Struthio camelus: one gene and its partner. Each later gene encodes a partner of the first gene's protein in a complex. Links are inferred from orthologs where the notes say so. Each region holds a gene or a part of one and is shown in the gene's direction. Other genes may lie near its edges.

The links.
Region 2: the proteins of GCC2 (region 1) and RAB6A are in contact, whole or in part, in a crystal structure (PDB 3BBP), measured with the Homo sapiens proteins. The link is inferred for Struthio camelus from reciprocal best matches to the Homo sapiens genes GCC2 and RAB6A. Residues at the interface, in NP_852118.2 of Homo sapiens: Thr1585, Ile1588, Leu1589, Glu1591, Gln1592, Leu1595, Leu1596, Glu1599, Arg1602; in NP_942599.1 of Homo sapiens: Lys15, Ile46, Gly47, Ile48, Trp67, Arg74, Phe75, Ser77, Leu78, Ser81, Tyr82, Asp85.

Annotation. Positions count from the first base shown.
Region 1 is NC_090942.1:155,279,493-155,290,075, forward strand, and holds the start of GCC2 (GRIP and coiled-coil domain-containing protein 2), read left to right. Parts: upstream 1-6,587; 5' UTR 6,588-6,752; coding exon 6,753-6,758; intron 6,759-9,485; coding exon 9,486-9,548; intron 9,549-10,245; coding exon 10,246-10,330; intron 10,331-10,583. UniProt on the Homo sapiens protein: Golgin which probably tethers transport vesicles to the trans-Golgi network (TGN) and regulates vesicular transport between the endosomes and the Golgi.
Region 2 is NC_090942.1:223,042,616-223,053,270, reverse strand, and holds the start of RAB6A (ras-related protein Rab-6A), read left to right. Parts: upstream 1-6,484; 5' UTR 6,485-6,772; coding exon 6,773-6,842; intron 6,843-10,655. Other genes in the region: MRPL48 (large ribosomal subunit protein mL48), read right to left, coding at 1-29, 758-810, 1,660-1,680. UniProt on the Homo sapiens protein: The small GTPases Rab are key regulators of intracellular membrane trafficking, from the formation of transport vesicles to their fusion with membranes.

The DNA of each region.
Region 1 (10,583 bases):
TGCAGTTCTCTAAAGGGCACCAATGTCTCGCATTAAGTTTGGAAACAATCGAAAGGGAAGGCTTGCTATTAAAAGTAGAAGTTATGCTGTCAGTTCCTGGCCCATTAAGTGTTCCCCAAAAGCCCAGGAAACACTGGAACTGGAACCAGGCATTTGCCACACTGGTGTAAACATGGGCATTTGAATGGCTTTGAATCAATGGTGGTTCTTGCCCGTGTATAAAGTATGTCTCAGTAAACAGAATCAGCTCAGTTTGTCATTCGAATTCCGCAGTGTCATAAGAACAGGGAAAACATGCTTAATTCAGTATCTAGGTGACGTTTTATAAGCTGTGCTGTACCAAAGGTTACGTAGATGACCTGTTTGTTCCTCCTTAGAAGTCTCTGAATCTATCAAAAGTGCAAAAGTGCTGTGGGCGGCTGCAGTCCCATCTGAGCGGGAGCCGCACAGCCACACCAAGCATAGAGGTATTATATAAGAGGCTCATGTCACATTGGCTAAGCCACCTTTGCTCTCCCCTCCTTAGGCAAATCTTCACCTTTACCCACCCGGAGTTCAGCTGCTCTGAGCAATAGATAAAGAGTAACACAGGTCAGGGAGGGCAGTCTGGGAAAAAAGGGGAGTAAAAAACCACTAGATGTGTGGTTATATAAAAATAGGATTTCCTTGTCTTAGTGATCTTATCCTTATACATATTCAAACATAGAAATGTTAACCTTTATGACAAAACACAGCTGGCAGGGGGTGGGAAAGGAGCGGGGGATGTGTTTCTATCTTTATGCTTTCTGGAGCCAGCATGACTAAGAGAGATGAAGCTGTGGATTCAGTCATAATTTGTAATATGACAGTAATTGCAGCACTGTAAACCTTCAGGGAACAATTAATTGTTCCAGGGCATCTAGTTGTTGTCTGTGAGAATGACTGGATCTGGAGTTACTGGGAGTTACTGGGAAAGTTTGGGAAAAGGGGTTAATAGGCTTAAGCATCCCCCAGTGGGGCCTAGAGACTAGTATGCTTTGGTGCCTAGTTATGACAGTATGCCAATGAACAGAGATGTGTCTATGCTTCTGGGTGACTGAAAGGCGCCCACATCTAGAGTGCCTTTAACTTACCTATCTTTTATGTTTGTCAGTTGTCATGTACAGAGGAGCTTTAAATGACGTGTGATAACAGAGATTATTTACTAATATTAACATAAATCTGTGAGAGGTGTAATTTACTTTGACATAAGATACTTTAAATCAATGAGCGTCTGCAGAAGGAGACTGTACTTGTTTAACTAAAGTATTTCTAATCAATTTAAACTATTGTCAAGTTTCCTGTGCATACAAGAGACTGTGTTTACTATGATGATAAAACTCTGCACAGAGCTCTAGCTAGAGATATGCGCTGAATACACTCTGATGCATTATTTTCATCCACTTACCTAGAGGCACGATTTTATTAATTTGCTTACACAGGTGCAACTTTTTTATGTCAGTTTAAAATGGCCTTGTATCAGCTCAGCTGATATAACCCCACAGCAGCTATTTTAATGCTGTTTGTCTCTCTCTCTTCCTTTGTAAAAAAAAGTAGTTTTGATAGCTGAAACACCTTTTCAATCATCTCCAGCAAATGTCTGAGAATCAATGTCGATTAATACCTATTAACTATTCACATGGGCCTGCTTTATAGCTATGCAATAACAATTACCAAAACAAATCCTCTCAATGGAGTGGAAGAAGATTCTTGCTTTGATACAGGGTTTTTAACAGGAACTGCTGATAAGTAACACTTAATTCTAGGGTAGTCACAAGCTTTCTTTAGCTCTGCTCTCTATAGGGACTAGATGAGTCATTCTACCACTACATGGAGTGCAACCTTTCATGAAGCTGACTGGAACGAGCATCAAGCTTTAAAAAAATTAACAAAAGTGGCAGAGAAGGGGGTTATTCCATCTTTTTACTTAGTATTCCAAGACAGAAAAAACACTGGTTTAAATTCCACTAATTTTACTGTAGATGATCCACCTCATGCATGGATTGAAAGTTATTATTTACCCAGTCAGCAAATAGACCACGGACAGAAGGTAGGGTTTTTTCCCACTCGTCCTATCCATGTATATGATAAACAAAACATATGATTTATATAATGATTTGACTTATGTCAACATGTTCAGAAAGAGCCTTATCTTTACAACAAGGTTAATTATTAATCTGGGAATATTCCAGAGGTGGAACTATATTTTAAGCCTGGACTGAAGCTCCCATTTCCTTTGTGACCTTGCTGAGTGATGCAAGCCCTGTTCTAATGCGGGCTGTAGGTGAGGCTAGAGGCACACCAAGAAAGAAACTTTAAGCGCTCCATACTCATAGGATGCAACCAAACTGTACTGCCAGACCTAAATCCCTGGGCTTTGGCTGCATAACAAGGCAGCCTGTTCAAGGTCTGCCTGGCTCCAAACCAAGTGCAGGCTTAGGCACTGTGTGGGTGGACCAGGAATGCTGGCATGCGGCAGTGTCCCATGGTTAATGTTGAAGAGGCAAATTAGTCATGGTTCATTTTCTGGAAGGGCTTCAGCATCACCTGCTGCAAGAGCAGTTGGTATCTAAGAGCAGTGTGAGCTCAGCCTGCTGTTAGGTGACGTGTGAGGGCTCACAGCTGAATTATGGGCATCTACCAGATGGTCATGAAGACAGAGAGCTTATGTCAACGTCAAGTGACTGGCTCCTGCCCTGGAAGAGGCAGTATAGATACAGGCAGAATCTCAGGCTAGACCCTTAAAAAGGAAGGCAGTTGAATTTAGAAAACTTATTAAAGTTGGGCCTCTTCATTCCTAGTAACCTGTTTGTTGTACCGATAACCCACACTGGTCTATATTTGCTACCTTTTCTGCAAACCGGATTTAAAAGTGCTTTTGTGTTCAGTCAACAATGGAATAGTCTTTAACAGCCAGACCCAACCCTAAGTGCTCAAACAAAATGCTAGTTTCCTTTTCCCAGCTAAAGTTAATCTTTGAATACACTTGGTAGGCTCTGCAGATTAGTAGTAGAAGTAGCAGTAAACTTCTTAACCCTCAGTGTCCTGTTGCAATTTAAGACCAGAATTAGAGACTGTATAAACAATTTCTTCTTTAATATATAACCATATCCTTCACACAGAAAGCACTATACAGATAAATACAGTGGGCAGTATTACCCCTGCATCTCACTTACTCATACAAACATTCATGCTAGCACCCTCTGCTCCCTTTTGCACTCCTTAAATTTTTCACTATACCTACAGCCTGTTCAGGTCCACTACAGGAAATACCCTAGTGAACCCAAGTCTACAAAATGATAATAGTCAGCCAAAGAATTTAAGGTTCATTTTCATGGGGAAGAGAGAATATTTTAAGTTTCCAAACAGGGAGTCAATAAGAACAGTCACAATGATGTAAATTCATACTTTGCCTTCCTTTACACTAATTTTGCATACAGAAAAGCCATAAAAGCTGCTTGAAGCAAGGATGCTAACTGACCCAGCATGGTTCACAGACAAAAGAGTTTGTTATCTTCAGAAGCTGGCAGAAAGTCAGATTCTACAGTTGCAATTGTTTAACGTATTAGCTCTGTAAGCTGAAAATGCATTTGCTGCTCGCAAAATTATAGTAATTTTCTCATTCTGTGCCATTCAGAACACTCCTGCAGGTCTAATAATTGCCATGATAGTGAACACGCACTTGTATACCACATCAGTGGGATGACTAATCCCAGACTTGTGGAACTTGGTCTTTCAGTGAAAGCAGAATTTAAAGTTTGCTATGCTCTGCCACAATGCATCTTGGCAACCTTGCTTTACATACGCAATGCTATTTAAAAAGATGAGTAATTACCTTTTACAAAGATAATAAAATTAGAGAATACATGGAACATATATTCTTCTTTTTCTGATTTATCTTGTCCCAAATTAGCTGCATGCAATATATATCATCTTCCTAGCTCCTTCTGGACTGATAAGACATACTATTCATAATCTGCTTAAGAAAATGATGTAAAACAATTGCAAGTATGAATCAACATTTTTTCCCATGAAATCTGGATCAACTTGTACTTTATTGTAATAAATCGAAATAATCAACAGTCAAAATCTTCTATCTTTTTTCTTCTGGCTATTCTAGAAACAACCTTTTATTTCCCCTAATCAGGATGCTTTGCAATTGCTGTTGTAATTTTAGACTAAAATGAACGACTGTGAGAAGCATTTCATCCGTAAAATATAACCAAATCCTTCTTGCACAAAATGGAGGGAGGAGGAGAGGCAGAGATTGGCCTGTCTTCTGTCAAATACGTATCTCCCAGGAGCAGGGAGCTCTGTTGGGGGCTGGGTGCCTTCTAGCCAGAATCAGTTAGTTTCAGAAAGCCTGTGCTGAGTGAGCTGGTTGTTCTTGTCTGCAGTACAAACACATCTGAAAAACCTCTGTGTACCTGCCTTGGAGCATCTCCAGAAATCAGTTTCTTCATAGGCTAAATGATGTGATGACTTAAGAGTCGGATTGTAATAAATATCTTTGAGGAAAGAAGGCCAAAACAAATTTACATGAAACATTACTTTCTCTGGGTTTTTCCAAAAAGAAAGTAAGCTATCCTATAATGTTCTCTCCAGACACCCAGCTTCAATCAGAGGCTGAGCTCGAAGGACAAAGCAGTGCAGTACAGCATAGTTTAGGGCCAAAGCTATTGTCACAAGAAGGTTTTGGAAGGCCTTTTATGTAGAAAGGTTCTTCCTGAAGCCATTTGAAAGTCCCATGTTAGACCATGGCAGCACAGTCCTAGGTGCCCAGTTCAGAGTGTCCCAAAGAGGATGGGGAAAGAAAGTTTCTAGTTCATCTAGTGCTCTAGAATATAAGAAAAGAAATCCGGAAAATGCAGCTTCTCGGGGTTTGATTATCAAGAACTATCTCTCGCCAACAAACTCTGTGAGGGCATGGGGTCATATGCTGCTGCAATTGTTTACATGCATAACGTACAACAAATATATACAATATATGGTGAATGTGTTGGGGAAAAAAGATAAGGAATTCAATTTCTAAGGTTATGTGAACAACCTTTCTGCTTTTTGTCACTATCTGTCATTCGAATTTTAAAACAAGAATGACAGTAAGGAGACTTGAAAAAATGCAAATTATTCCTTCCTTATCAGGGCAGCATTTTGACTAACATGGCCCTTTTTTCATTAAAACAATAGATAATCTCTCATGACACTATAATTAATTCGGCGATATTCAATACTGATGTGGTGAATTGTAAATATGCCTGAATAATATGCCTGAATTGTTTCTCCCAAGCAAGTTCTCATTAAAAATCAATTACTTATCATAAAATGCCAGAAATCCTTCAAGCACTGTTGAAGTGCATGCATGATTACAATAAAAAGTAAAATAAAAAGGACGTGTATTTTAAAAATACCAGTAGGTATCGCTCCCCTCATTCACCTCCGTGATGTGTCATGGCCAAAAAAAAACCCACCCTAACGACGAAACAGAATTGCAAGCCGTAATGCCCGGCAGAAGCCGTTCGCTCTGGCAACGAGTCTTTCATATACGACTCTTGATAAATCACCTGATCGCTTTGGGCTTTCATCAGGATATGAAAAACCGGGCCCTGAAATCCTGAAGTAGCTCTCTGAGCACATCGTCGCTAACCACCTGTTCTCCTTAGGGGACCAGCAAGGGTCCCCCCCCCCCCCCCCGCGTGCCCTGGCGGCAGCCCGTCTCCCAAAGGAGCCCTTCAGCGGTGGGCAACGACGAAGCGCAAGGGCGCAGCGGCCGTACCCCTTTCCTCCGGCCGTTTTTCTTAACGCGGCAACCGACGCGGCGCGCGCCTCCCCCAGGTTTTCCTGTAAACGGGGGCCGCTCTCAAGGGACAGTGTAAGCCAGCTTTCAGGTTGCTTTTGCTGCTGATAGCGGCCTTGCCGTATCAGAAGATCTGTCATAAAACGTTTGCTTCAGAGGGCTGTGTTATACCTGACGTCTGCGCGCAGCCTGCGTTTGAACAAATTAGGAGCTGTAGTTTCAGCGTCGCGTGCTGCTGTGCAGCTGCCGCTTCACGACCAGGCCCGGTCTAGTGAGCTTGCTTTTAATGACAGTATTAAACCTTTCCGTCATAAAAATACCACTGAGGGAGGGCAAGGGGGAAAACAGGGGAAAACACGGTAGGCACTATTTGGCAGCGAGTGGGCTGACACAGATGGTGTATCCAGTGCTTTTTTATTTATTTGCTTTTTTGCTGGTGGTGGTCCGTCCTCAAGTTTCTTTCCACCTCCTCCGTGGGAAAAGCGAAGCTCTCGGCACACACCCTTTCCCGCAGCGGCTCCTTCTTAGGTCTCCAGACCACCACCCGCACCACAGCGCTGCCAAACCCGCCGCCTCCCACTGCACCCGCTCCACCCGCAACCGCCCCCCCGGCAGGCGGCCTCAGGCGCCCCCCCCACCTGCCCGGCGGCGGCGGCCGGGGGGGCGGGGGGCGGGTGGCACAGGCCAAGGCGCGGAGCTCCGCGCCACCCCCCCACCCGGCAGTGCCGGCCGCCCCCTCTGCGGCAGCCCCCGGGGTGCCCGCGCCGCGTGGGGCAGGGGCACGGCGGGGCGGGGCCGCGGCCCGCTCGCGGACGGTACGGGGGAGTGGGGTTAGCGCTACGTCAGAGGTGTGGGGCGGTGACGAAGGCGGAAGCGGAGACGGCAAGGGGCGGGGGAGAGGCAGCGGCGCTGACAACGGCTGCAGCGAGCCGGCTCCGCCATGGAGGTAACGGGGCGGGGGGAGGGGGGGAGGCAAGGAGAGCCGTTGGGAGGAACCGTTGGGGGTCGCGTGACCTTGGGCCACGGAGCGGGGGGAGGGGGCAGGCGCGCGCGAGCCCCGCTCCCCCTCCCACCCCCCGCCCTGCGGCGGTTTCCCCCCCCCCCCACCCTTCCCCGCGCGCGCCCCCGCCGCCAGGCGCGGCCCCGTGCGCAGCCCCCTCCCCCGGCGCGGCGCCGGCGGCCGTTGGCGCGCAGCCCCCCCTCCCCCTTCCCCAGCGCCCGGGCCGGGGGGACGGGCCGCGCCGCGCCGCTCGCCTCGGTGGCGGCCGCCTGACGCTCTCCAAGGGCGGCGTGGCCGGCAGGGCGGCCCGGGGGGTCTCCGCAGGCGCCGAGGTTTCAGGGCCCCGGGGGTTGTGGCTGTGGGGCAGCCCCCGCGGCGGCGAGGGGGAGGGGTAGGCAGCGGGCCGCGCCGCGGTGCTGGGGCTCCTACCTTGCGGGAGTGGGTGGGCCTCCGCCTGGGAGCCCTCCGGGTTGGGCTGCCGGAGCTGCTTAGTGCTTCCTGCTGGAAGGTGGAGGTGTCCTCCTGGTTGCACAGACTGGGGGAGAGCAAGCAGTGTTGAGCCGAGGGGGGAAGGAGCATTCAGATGCGATGCGATGAATGCCTTGCGTGGTGACACCTCTTTCTTTAAAAACAGCGTGAATGAATAGGCTTTCTTTCCTTGTGAGGATGGCCTAGTGCTTTCGCTGTGGTTTAACTGTGAAACCCTTGCCGACGTAGGCAAATGAAATCGCTGAAGTGCATGTATCTACTGTGTATCTTTCAAAACCACCAAGGTGAATCCAAAGGCAGTCTTGAAGAACTGAAATTTCACATATGGCATTAACTCCCTGTAGGTGCTCAGCTCGGCACTTTCTAATTACGCTCCTGTTTTCCGAAGCGATCGGAATTCAAAATGTTCTGATGTGATTCAACGTGTTTAGATTTGGTAACATCTAAAAACTCTCGCGCTGCTCAAAAAAGTCACTCCTCAGGATGATCAGTGCTGTCAGAGGTTATGTCAAAGTTAATATATAGCATTCCTACGCTGCTTAGGCTTTCCAATAGCGTGTTTACTTCTTGCAGAAGTAAGGAATAGAGAGCAAAAATTAAAACATTATTATTAAAAAAATACAGTACCCTATTTTCAGAGTGATAGAGTAGAAACTTGGGAATCCTTACAAGATTATTTTCAGCGTTGTACTTAAAAGTATTATGTCTGTGGGCTTACAGCTCGGATGCACCTAATTCATCAAGTTTAAGGTTTTTGATTACCATCTTTCTCAGCATTCTTTTAATTAAAACAAGTAAAGCCCTCTACATGAGCTGCTTGTGGTACCTTCTACCAGAACAGCAAAACTGGGTGCACCTCCTTGCATGATATGAAGTTCAGCCTTTGTGCATGTCAGCCTAAAGAAGAGTAAAAGCAACATGTAGGTCTGTCGTTCTTTATTGTAACATGAACAGATGTGTGCTATTATTATTTTTAAACAGTACAGACAATTTGTACCTATGTAAGCATACTGTTTGTAGTGGCGGTGTTTTACTAATAACGTGCTCAAATATTAAGAATTTATATGTTGAAAAAGTTCTGCATCCCAATAAAGTCTGAATTTTGAACTCCTTTATAGTGCTATTTCTTAAGTTCTGTATTTATTTAACAGGCAAACTGTCTTCCAATAAGCTTGCCTTTGCTATCTCAAAAACTCTAGCCCATGTAGTACAGAGAGATACCTTTGTCCTTGGTCTGTGCTTGAACTGATATTTCTAATTATGGCCTTTCTTAATATCTCTATCAGCTCTTCTCTCTGAATTGTCCATCAGTGATTATCCCTACCAGTAATATTTAGATCCAGTTTGTTTTTTCCATAGTTTCTATTACAATGTTTTATTTATCTGAATAAAAAGAGTAACAAAATAAAAGTCAAGGTATAGTATCTAGTCTGATAGTGTAAAAGAATGTCAAAGCTTGGAAATGCTATGCATAATATATTGGAAGTGTCTGTCCTATTTTCCTTTACTGCATCTTAATTATGTTTATTTCTTTATGTTTCCAAGTATGTGTGAGCATATCCTGTGTAAACCCACTCTGAAATTGATCTCCCAGAATAGATCTGAGGAGGCTTACAGTAAAAAGTATTACACACTTATGTTGGGAGTAGAAAGTCCAGGCTTTGCAGAGCCTTTTAAAATGCTTTTGCCAGGCCACCACTACCATGCGCTTTTAGTGCTAACCAGTGCATTTAAAAGAAAATTGTGTTTCAAGGTTATATTTTCTTCAAAAGTTTCCTAAATCTGATTTAGCTGTCCATCCCGTACAAGCTTTTTCACTCCTGCTTTATCTTAAACAAGTCTTTTAATAACAAGATATTGAGTTACACTTTCATAACCCATAGTAAATAAAGTGATTTTTGCAGAATATATTAACGGTGAATAGAAATTAAGTAGTGGAGTGGTAGGATTATACTGGTTTAGAAATTAAGAGTTTCCCGTTCTGCTGTTGTAATGGACTAATTGCAATAGATCTCTAAGGAAAATTCCTCCGTTGTCCTTCTGACTAGTCCTACAAATGTTTTAGGTTTCTTGAACTCCCACTATGTTTACTTATTCTCAGTACATGCAGACTTTCAGTTACTTCCTTCAGTAGTCTGCACAAAAAAATTCGGTTCTCACATACTACGCTTTCTTTCATTGTAGGTACAAGATGCTGGGCAAGAGATGGTAGCTTCTCCTGTCACACCAGGAGCAGGCAAATCAAAGGTAATCTGACTTCACAGATTTAATTTGTTTGGATAGCAGCAGTTTAGAGAGTTATAGCTTCCTAGTAGGAAGATATAGAGGTATTTTTAAACAGTTCTGTGTCTTCTGTACTTCTTGAAAATTTGATTTACAAATGCTAGGCTCAGGAAAGCCTGTTTTGGAAATTGTGGAACAAAAATTATTTTTAGTGCACTCACTTCCTGTGGTAATGTTTTATAAGATATTTATAATACCTAGTTCTGGAAATAGTCTGTTTCCTTATGTACCCAGACTTCCTTGCCCATACTGGCAGTAAATCAAAAAACAGTAGTGTTAGATTAGCAGACTATATGCAAAACATTGTCCAAATTATATTACTCCAAAGACCCAGCTACTTTAGCTACTTTTTTTTTTTTGTTGCTTATAGGCTTCAGATTTTTTCTGGTATCTCGCAATCTATCTATTGTATTGCAATCCTGCCCAACAGAATTTTCATTTCTGACTGATGCTTCCTAATTAAATATTCTGAAAGACTTTTGGAAAAGCACAGAATTAGCAGTAGTTTCTGTTATTGGACTGTTAGATCCTTGCAGATGCAGGGTAGGACAGTTTCTTGCCCTAAATTTTAGTCATTTTAGCATCTGATTTCCAAGAAATTATTTGCTGTTTACCTCTGGGATAGAGGAGGCTGGTTTTTGAAATATGTACTTTCTTACAGCTGGACACGTTGTCCAAAGAAGATCTCATCAAGTTTGCCAAAAAGCAAGTGATGCTCATACAGAAAGTGAAGTCAAAGTGTACAGGTACCTTACTGAAGAGGGAATAATTTCTACTTTAATGCTTGGTACTGCTTGACTGTGCTTAATATCACAGCGAACTTTTGCTAGGTAGACTTAATTTATAGGCAAATATCCTAGACTTTTCTTTTTTCCCTGAGATTTCACTATTTTTGTGGTAGGATAAAGACTGAAGCTCTTAGGTGGGGGGGGGGGAAGAAAAAAAAGAAACATTGCTTTTGTCAAGTATTAAATTAACTTTGACTTATCAGGCAGCGTG
Region 2 (10,655 bases), about 68 Mb from region 1:
ACAGACAGCTTTCTCTGGGCGTCGGTGCTCTACAGGAAACAAGTTAGTAATTAAAACCTGCTATTTCACCCACCATCATATATCTAGCCAATCTCCTTGACTCATATCCCAGATATCCTCAGACACAGACCAGGTCCCAGGTTTGTGGCCAACAGGCTGGGACACACACCGAGGATGTGACCCTCGGCTTGGTCAAGAATAAGGGCTTCAGAGACATCAAATAAAAGGTGAAGAAACAGAACTGTCTTTTTGAAGAAACTAAACTTTTACTCCTTCCTCTACTTCTTTCTGCCCAAAAACTTTACACGGCATTACTTCTTCCCTCCTTCTTTACCACCTAATTCTGTCTTTGCTACTAGGACTGGCCAGCAAGAAGCTGCCAACACCTTCAGTTCTTGCTGCAGCATAGTTTTCTCTTTGGGGTGCTTTACTACCCCATAACACTTTCCACTGTTCCCTTACCCGAAACTATGCTGAAGCAGACAACCACAAACGCATCTTGCAGAGGGGACGGGTTTAAGGGCAATACCTGTAATGCCCCTTTCTAGCTGACCAGTATCAAAAAGATTTTCTCTTCTTCACATCCTACAGGCCTTTCAGTTCTCTGAAAGTCTTCCTTCCACAGTTAAAAGACCTTCTTTGGTAAGAAGTATTCTTTTACCATATATGTTTTCTGGCACAGTCTGTAGAATCAACTAAGCGTTTTTAATGCCTTGCACTCTGCTTTATTTATCCGGCTTGATGTCGAACTACTCACCGGCTGAGTGCAAACACCTGCTTTAGCGAGGTTTTCTTCTTCAAGCGCAGAACCTGCAACGAACCACCAGTCAGCACGCAAACGTTACGACAAACATTCAGAAAGTTTTCGCTGGCGCTTCCCAGAACGCATCCTTCAAAACAACACGCGGGACCCTCTCGGAGCACTAATACACCTGCCAATGCGTCCACAGCCTCCAGCCACTGCAACTCCCCAGACCACAGCTGCAACACCGAGGAGGGGGATGAAGCGGGATGGGCGCAATAACCTTCTCGCTTTGCTTTAGGAATCCAACAGCTTGGGGTCGGCGATCCCGTACTCATCCGCCACGCCACCCCACTGCCACCAGGTTACAAAAACCCAGGCGAACAACTGCTGCGCTCGCCACTCGCTAGTGAAATAAGGGAGGGCCAGGGATCCACCAGGTCCCTGCGGGGCAGTGCCGGGGCTGGGGTGATCCCTAAGGGCTGGCGGGGAGGGGGTGTCTCCGCCCTGCTCCAGGGCAAACAAGGCACGTATGGGGGGGGGGGAACTCCACCCCCAAATGCAACCCCGAGACCCCCCACCACCACCACTGCCAGGCCTAGGTCAGGCCTGAGAGCCCAGCGCCAGCTCAGGCCTGTCCCCCCGACTCCCTAGTGTCCGAGCTGGGGCTGCTCGAGTCCAGCCCCCCCCAGGACCGGGGACGAGCCCCGGACCGGGCCCCCTCCTCAGCCCGGAGCTGGAGCCGGGCCCGGGCCCCCTCCTCATCCTGGCGCCGGGGACACGTCGGCCGCGATCCTGTTCTGCCCCGCTTCCTGAGCCAGATGGGCCCCGTTTCCCCCCCCCTCCGTGTCCCACAGCCGGTCCGGTCCGGTCCGGTCCGGTCCGGTCCGGTCCGGTCCAGTGCCCGCCCGCGCTACCTGCCGCAGCACCGCGCTCATCCTGACCCAGGGCAATGGCGGCCGCGTCCGGCGGGCAGAGCGGTCCCCCGCGCCGCCTCGGTGCACCCGGCCCGGCGCCCCCCCCGGCACCCCGCAGCCCGCGCCCCGCGTTCCGCTCCCGGCCCGGCCTCCGCCACCCCCGAAATCAGAAATAACGCGCCCCGAGGCGGCCGCTGGGCCTCGAGGGGGGGACGGGGGTGTTAGTAGGGCTTGCTGCCGAGCTGCTGCTCTTGGTGCAGTTAGTTTTGGTGAGAATACGAGGCAGGTGGGACACGCTATGGGCTACGTAACCGAGGGCGTTCAGCTTTGTTCAGCAAACGCCCTGGTGCTTACGAGGGGCCTCGGGGGGAAAAGGGGCTTCGCAACTGGCCTGGGAAGGGTTTTTTTTCAGGGTACTTGTGCTCGAGGTGGTGGCGGGGGGGATATTTTCAGCTGTGTTTGCAGTATGAAGACTTGTGGGTTACGTCATCTCTGCTAAAATAAATAGCACGTGGAGAGCGACACGGCGCTGCGCTGAGAGGATCGATGAGGTTAATTTGTGGGCTTAATTAGTGACTCTCTAGGTCAGATGGGGCCTGCGAGCTGCAACGTGCCGGGATCCACTGGTCCTGCTGTGCCTTGTGTCAGCTGGCAGGCAGGTCGGGGCATGGCCGTTTGCAAGCTGCTGTCTGGGGGGGAGGGTGCTGCTGAGGTGACCCCCACCCTGCAAGATGCCCCTTTTGGGTAACAGCACAGGAAATCTGGGCAATAACGTGCAATAACACCCAAACGTGCGATATTGCAGAAACGTGCAATAATGCAATGCTGTGCAACCTATGGACAAACAGGAGACCTTTCACCTGCAGCGTACGAGAGAGGACAGCCCTGTCACCGTCCCCTCTGCCCCACTGGAGCCACCCCCAACTGCCACTGCTGGCGCTGGCCAAAGAGCAGAACAACGTGGCAGCTCTGCACGGCGCACCCAACCCTGCGCCCAGCGCCATCCTACCCTGCTGGCTCCGCACCACCACCACCACCACCACCCCCACCCCGGTCTCGCGCTCTGATTGGCCATCCTCAACGTCCATCAAGCTGGCGGGCGGGTAGGGGGCAGCGGCCCTGCGGCACGGTGGTGCGGCCATGTTGAGTGTGGCCGGTCTGGAGCCTTCCTAGCGTGGTCAAGCGGCTAGGGCGAGCGTGGCCTGGCCAGCCCCGCCGTGGCGCGGTGTGGCGGCCATGTTGAGTGTGGCCCGGCCGCGCCCCTCCTGCGGGCGGCCATGTTAGTATGGCCAGCGGGTGCCCAGAGGGGAGGCAGCCAGTGTCCGTCTAACATGCCCGAAAACGTTTCGAGCAAAAGAGGGATGTAGGCACGACGGAGCAGCAGGAGCCTGCCTGAATTTCGGCAGGGCTTTCCTCCCGCCAGGGGAGGAGGTGGGCCAGGAGGTGCGCCTGGCGGCCCTGGGCGAAGAGGGACCGACGCCGCGCGTCCCCGTTCCCTTAGCCAGAGGCCTGATAGTCTGGGGTTGGCCTGGAAAGCAAAACAAAACAAAACATCTCTTTGCAGTCAGTCTGCTCCTCCTCCCTGTCTCTTGCACCCTCCTTCGAACTGCTTCGCTCCCTCCTCCTCCTCACTCTTCCTCCTCCTTCCTCCTTCGAGCAGGGCGCACGAGTGGAGTTTGAGCCGGGTCAGGGCCAACCCTCCCGTTCCAGCAAAGCTGGACGTCTCCTCCAGTGAACATTGAAGCCCTGGAGGAAATGGCGTGCTTGAGGAAGGACTGCTGTAACCGGAGAGGGATTAACTGCCCCTGCGTTTGTAGGGTGAGGCAGCAACGGGTATTTGGGTTATGCCCGTGAGGACTCCCCGTTTCACGACCTCACGTGCTATCGGGTCTCAGGGAGCGGGTCTGCAGCCCCCTAGTTCTCCTTAGTACCTTCGTCCCTCTCGGGGGGCTAATCTTTTGGCCGCGTATAAAACGTGGCTGAGGACAGAGCACGGCCCCGGACTGAGTTTGGAGTACTGCAAACATTGCTAAAAATATTACAAGAATTCTCCCTTCCCCCTCCTCCTTCAGTGACCATCATTGTCCTCTTAGATGTCTCAGTGAAAGAACAGTCCATCTCTATATGGCAGAGATCTCCCTGACATCTATCATAGATTCATAAATTTTAAGGCCAAAAGGGACCGTTCTGGCGTATAATTTGGCCTCCTGCACGTTGCACGCTATACGTTTCCTCCGAGCTGCAGCTGCGTGCAAACAGATCGCCCGTGCTTCGACGAAAGCGTTCCTCTCACAAAGGCTCCAGCTCTCGGCTTCCCTCTGATGCAAAGAGCGCGCTGCTCCTGGCAGCTCGTTCTGGCAACCGATCACCCTCGCTGTTAAAGACGTGGGCCTTACTTCGAAGTTGAACGTGCCCCAGCCTCAGCCGCCAGCCAGCGGTTCTCGTCGTGCCTTCCTCTGCTTGGCTAACGAACCCCTTCTCTCTCAGTCTCCGCCGCGCTGCCCAGAATAAAGCTGTCCTAGGGGACTTGTCGGGTTGCAAAGGCAAACAACAAGCTTTTGAGCACAACTTGGAATAAAACCTCCTCTGATGTACCTGCCTCCTCCTTTTCTGCCTTCTGCGGTTTCTTAGGACCGTGGGTAAGGCCTGCAGGAGTCAGCAAGACCATCTGCCTTGGCTTCACGAATTGAGCAAGGTCCCTCAATTGCTTTTATCTCGAAATCCTCATCCAGGTCTCCTGCCAGCCCCTCGGGCTGAACCCTCTTCGGGAGGCAAGGCAAAGGGTTGTCCTTTGCCCAGTGCAAAGAGACGCTGAGCCTGAGCAGAGCCCTTGGACAGATCAGCGACAAAAATAATCGTCACTAGCAGCGAAGCCTCCTCCCCGGTGGAGAGCCATCCTTTTCCCTGGGATCAGCGAGTAAGATCCCTGGCATCCCTACTGACAAACAAACAAGGACAGTTTACGTATTTAAAACGATGCTGAAACTGTTCAAACCAGCTCTGTGCCAGTCTGGGTCCCCTCTGCCCCGGGTTAGCAGGAGAGCAGCGTCACAGCGCTGCGCAGCCGGGTGCAAAGCAAAAGGAGATGTCTTGCTCGTGTCCTTATTCAAACTTCCTTGAATTTAATCACCTTATTAAAGGCACGTTTTCTCTTTCAGTTCACTGGCAGTTCAAGGCCTGGGGAACAAAAAAAAAAAACCCTTGGAGAAGCAGTTAGTCACGTTGAGGCAATATGAATGAAATGATCAAAAATAGAAAGGAGAGACCGTTTGGTCTTCCAAATACCTTCCAGTTCTGCTCCTGAATCGTGGGCTCTGGGCGAGGTTCATGTCCGAGAAGAAATCCCCGCAGCAGAGAAGTTCAATGAGCGTTTCCATGAGTCGGGCGCAGACGGAGACGCTGAACGAAGGTTTGAGGGTGACCTCCCTGCAAACAAATCCTTACTGAGAGTCTGTGCCCCCCCCTCCCCATAGCTCCCTGGACCATATACAAACCCAGGGCAGCAGGTCACGTGGAGATGGAATAACGTTAAGTTCTGCTCCGCGACGTTTTCCAAAGAGGAGGCAAAGAGTTGGCGCGTGGTGTCCCCTTGGCAGAAGAAACGCGGCGCTGAGACGCAGCTCGCGGGCCTCGGAGAGGAAGGTGGAGATGGTTCCCTGACCATCCCAGCAGAGAGGTCCTGGAGCAACCGCCCGCATGGAGAAGTGGAGGAAAACCTGGCCGAGGGGAACCTGCGAGGGAGCTGTGACGCGCTCTCGCCGTGCCGGGACTGGAGGACAAGGTGCAGCGCGTCCCACCAGGCTTGCTCCGGGCTCCCCCACCTCGTTGAGTTAGTTGAACCTCGTTGACTAGATTTGCGTCAACACCGACGCGAAGAAAACTAACAGGCGCAAGCTGCAGACCCCAAAAAGGCCGCGTGATTAAGCGTGTCCTCGTTTCAGGCAGCCAAGCTGAGATATTTGTGGGAACAGCAGGTGCCGACAACGCCAGCTGAAGCCTTGGGAAGCTCGGGGAGCGAACGCTTGTGAAAAATCACATTTTGGCATCCATATCCAAGCAACCTGAGCGAGGAGCATCGCTCCGGCCATTCGCGCTGCCCTTGCGGCCAAGCACGCGGGCACCAGTTTGGGAAGGGGGTGAAGAGGGCAACAGGCGTGAGCTCCCGTAGCCGCCAAACGTGCCCGAATCCGGGCCCCTTTCCCGGAGGCTGCTCTCCTTTCAGCTGGGTTTGTCTCCCAGGATCCAGAAACGGCAAACGTCGCGGAGAGTTTTCCTTCGTTTTCACGTGCGGCTGGTCCACGGCCCCGCGCGGGGAACGACCGACGCAGCAGCAGGGCACACAGCGCTGTCGCCGTCTGCGGTGAGCGGAGGCTGAGCTGAGCGCCGCTGTCCGGGTGAAGGGCGGGTGCGAGAAGAGGACGGGCGCAATAGGAGGATGCACGCAGGGAACGCAGACGGTCTTCGGCGCCGGACATGCTACGGACAGCGTGCACGCGCCTTCACTTTGCCCACGCTATAGCCTTCCCTGAGGGAGAGCGCTTTTAGGGGTCCCCCCTGCCTCACCTTCCCCCCTACAGGTGCCCAAGAGCTCGGGCATTTCAGCAAGCTGCCCACCTCCCCTTACCAAACCGCCCACCCACGCAGCCACCATTAGGCTCCAGCGTGAACACCCTCCCCCAGCCGAAGCGGTGGAGGGGGGGGAAGAGAGAGAGAGAGGGAGGGAGGGGACAAGCCCCGCCCCCTCCCTCGCCGCCGCGGCGCGCTGCGATTGGGCGGCCGCAGGGAGGGAGGGCGGGGCGTGCGGTGAAGGGAGGGGGGGGGCCGCGCGCGCGCGTGCGCGGGACGGGGCGGCCGGTTGCGTGAGGCGGCGGGGGGCAGGGACGGCCCTGAGGCGAGCGGAGCGACGCGACGCGACCGAACCGAACCGGCTCCGCCGCCCTGCGCCTCGCCGCGGCTCCGCGCCCGGCCCGCTCCGCCCTGCTCTGTCCGCCGCCGCCTCCTCCTCTTCCTTCACCGACGCGGGAGGAAGGAGAGGAGGAAAGGGCCAGAGAGCGGGCGCGGGTGCCGCCGCGGGGAGCGGAGCGGAGCGCGGGGCGGCGGCGGCTCCTCCATCATGTCGGCGGGCGGGGACTTCGGCAACCCGCTGCGGAAATTCAAGCTGGTTTTCCTGGGCGAGCAAAGCGGTGAGTCACCGGTCCGGTCCGGTTCGCCCCCCCCCCCCCCCCTCACCTCACACAGCCGGCGGCGGCGGGACCTCCCCCGACCCCACCGGGCCGGGCCTGAGGCGAGGCCGCCTGCCGCCGGCTCCCTCGCCTCCTCCTTGCGGGCGGCCCCGTCTTGCCGTTGCCGCCCCTTGGGGAGGCATTGAGCCCCGTTCAGCTGCCTGTGTGTTTTATTTAGTCGTTTCTCACGCTTTTCATTTGTCCGTTTGTTTTTACACCCCGGCCAGCCCCATCTCTTTGCGGCGCTTGCTGATTCATTTAGCCCGGGTTCATCCCCTTTTTGCTGGGAAAAGGGAAGATCGATCCCTGGTGTCTCCCGCTTCGATATACCGGTTTTTCTTTTTTGTTTGTTTGTTTGTTCCGTTTTTGGAAAAATGGGGTTACATCTGGGTGCGGCGGATCAAACGCTCTAAATTTTTTTAATGTAACAAACGAAATATTTCCCTTTCCCACCCTCCCTGCTGTCTTTGCTGGCAGGAGGGGGGAAAAAAACGCCCAACAAAAAACCCAAGAAATCTGGATGTCACCTTCTTTCTAAATAGAAGGCCACTGTCTGCAGTGTTGAATTCAAATCTTACTTTTTTGGGGAGTGTCTTTTTTTTTTTTCCTCCACCCTGAGAAACATTAATTTGTAGGATACGTTGTGATCCTGGTCAAATATTGAGGAATCTTTGATATTACGAAAAGGAGCAAAATATTCCCTGTCTCAGGGTGGGGTATTTGCTCCCTCAGCCACCTTTGCTCCCTGTATGGTAGGAGCTGATGAAATACTACGTGTCGTCTCCTCCTCCTCCCCCCCACCCCCGATGATTTATATAGTGATATTTCTTCACTTAAATGTAGATGAGCTTGGTGGCAAGACTGCTATTAATATGTGATTACCTGTATGTTGGTAGTTTCCGTTAGTCTGTCCCTTTTGCCCCCTTTTTTGTGTTGGAGCCGCTCCAACACAATGTTAGGGATGCAGGGAGTGCAAGTTCAACTTGGGTATTTCTTCTTGGCTAAGTCACCTGATCTATTTGGTGAGGTGCTGTTTGGCCAGCCATTTTATGAGGATTTTTGGAAAAGGGTCAGGTGTTAAAGATGCTTTTTTCTTTCTTTTTTCCCAAGTTATTATTTGGTAACATGAATCTAGAGTGTCACGTGTGCATTTGCAAAATGCTTTGCTTGCTTTCCTGCATTTTTGAGCTTTAATTTTCCGAACCTTTTAGGATGCCTCCATGGGAGGCATCTAGTGCAGATCTTAAATCTCAGCAGCTCTTAGTTTACGTGTGAATTTCTTGTCTATCTATTGTGGCAGACATATCATCTGATACCTGCTTCCTCTAATCTTGACAGCCTGCCCCCAACTAATTATCTATGGCTATACTGGAAGGTCGTAAATGATTCCCATCGAGAGCTTCAAATCTGGGGAGGAGAGAAGGGTGGATTTTTTGGGGGTATAGCTTGGCAAAATACTCCTAACTAAACGTACATAACAGTGCAGCTGTTGTGACTGTGCCTTACTGATGTGTTCAGGCTGGTGGTGAACTAGGTAGTGCTAGCAGCTGTGCGGTGGGTTTCAGACCTGCCTTTGTCTAGATCGGGGCGATCGCTCAGTGGCTGGTCCGCACCGAACTCTGTGCTAACATGGCTATGCCGATAGCAACGGAGAGCTCGGTGTGTCCGCGCAGCCTACAGGTGCTGCAGCGTAGGCATGCTCCAGCACAGCTCCCAGATGATTCTCGTATGTGCTGGAGAAACAGCTTTCTCTGAATTCGCATGGGATCTCCTCAAATATTGCTGTCTTGATGTAATTCTTTGGGGGTGTGTTTTTGTGGGTTTTTTTTTTGTTATTACTGTGCGAATAGTTACGTTACGTATGGCCCCTGAAAGAATAAATGTTCTAATAACGTTCCTCCATATAATGGAGATAATATGGAAGCATCTCGCATCCTGCAGAGGAGGTCTGGGGGGGTTTGCTTACACGTAGCTCCCTTTGTCATTCTTGTTTTTGAAGATTAAGGGAAATGTAGAAATAAAAATAGTTCTTATAGCTTTTGTAAATCAAAGATCTCTTTGTACAACTGTTGCATTGGATTACTGCCTTTACTTCCTGTTGAGCTGAAAGGTTGTCTGCCCTGCTGGAAGGCCATAATTAAAGATATCCTACTACTGCTTGTAGGGTTATAGGATGCTTCTGTTTCACTTGCTTGAGGCACTTCATAATGGCAAATGAAATGTTATAAAGGGCTACAACGCTGATTAGGTGGATCAGCAACCAAAGCCAGCTAGGATCAGACCACTTGTGTTGATTGTATACAGTGTCTTTGCTAAATGTGCGTGTTACGGTTAAGAGATTCTTACCTGGAGTTCATTTACTGCGCAGGCTTTAGCGCTTTTAGATGCAATTGTGTGATCAGAGGTGATATCCTGCTGTGAAAGATCTGGAAACGTTTCTAGACATCTCATTCTTGTAACCGTACTTGAAATTGAAATTGTGCAGTGGATGCAGCCTGTAGTTTTTGCTGGTATCCTCAGCCATGTTGTGGCAGTTCGGTGCTGTATACCCAGACATGTTTGTCTGGACTGCGGTGATTCTTCCTAGTTATGCTGTTTGTCTTTAGCTGCTGATTCTCCTATGTGATAAGCTACTGATCTCTCTTTAAAGGGAGAGAAGGGGTGGGGGGGAAAGCCCTTCTCTTCCCTTGCTCCCTGACCTCCAGAATCTTCCTGCCTCCAGTGTCTGTTACTTGCATTGTCTGTCTTTTATGCTTTTATTGCACCAGCTCCTCGGGCAGTCAGTGCCATGGAAAGAAAGCTGACACACTGCTGCAGTTCTGTTCAGCAGAGTCCTGCCAGTGCTAATCAGTCAGTGGTGTGTGTTGGCTAAATGACATAAGGTCCCTTGCAGCTTCTTTCAGGATTTACTGCAAGTCATTGCTTCTCAATAGCAATACGGTTTTTGTCCCCCATGGCCTTCCCCACCCAAACTGGATCAGCAGAGCCTTGGATACCTGCCGCATGTACTGTGGTTTCATCACCAGCCTGCAATGTAAGCCGTGTCCAGCTGAAAAGAAGCTTCTCTTTCTAGCTCTTTTTTTCCTTACTTGCAGCACAAGGATATAGCATTGGGTGACTAGCAAGAAGGAAACTTAGCCAGTGCTTGTCTTAATTGAATTACTTTTCTCAATGACTAGAGATTATGCAGAGTTTAATAGTTTTTAGTATGTTAATCTTGACTGAAAAGACAGAGCTCTGTGCTGAGGGATTAGAGAAAACTACTATTAAAAAAAATATATGCTTCTTACTGCCTTTGATCTTGTTTTGTCAGGTGACTTTCATGAGTCCTAATGCCTTAAGTAATAAATTCTGGTTTCTGGGTCACATCGGTTAGTGTATGCATCACCTCTATTAGGGTAGCTTGCAGTAAATATGCTGTATACCCTCAAAATATTTAGTAACATCTTTAGTTTTGTCTTGTGTATGAACATCTCTTGTTCTTTATTTGCCAAATTGTGTTTGGCTGGGCCGACCTGACTGCTGGGGCGCAGTAATAGAAATATTCTTTCATCATGTGGGTTCATGCTGCAGCTTTTATTGGAGCGGAAGTCTGAAGGGCATTAATGTATACAGAAAGCAAAATAAGTTGCTGTTGTATCTTACTACAGTCATTTCTGCGTTCTGCAAGATCTGAAAATGATAACCAATTAGAGCTTTTCATCAAGAATTGATATTTTAATATTGAAAATGTTGTACTAAGTACAATATAATAGCTTGTATCATATAACTGTT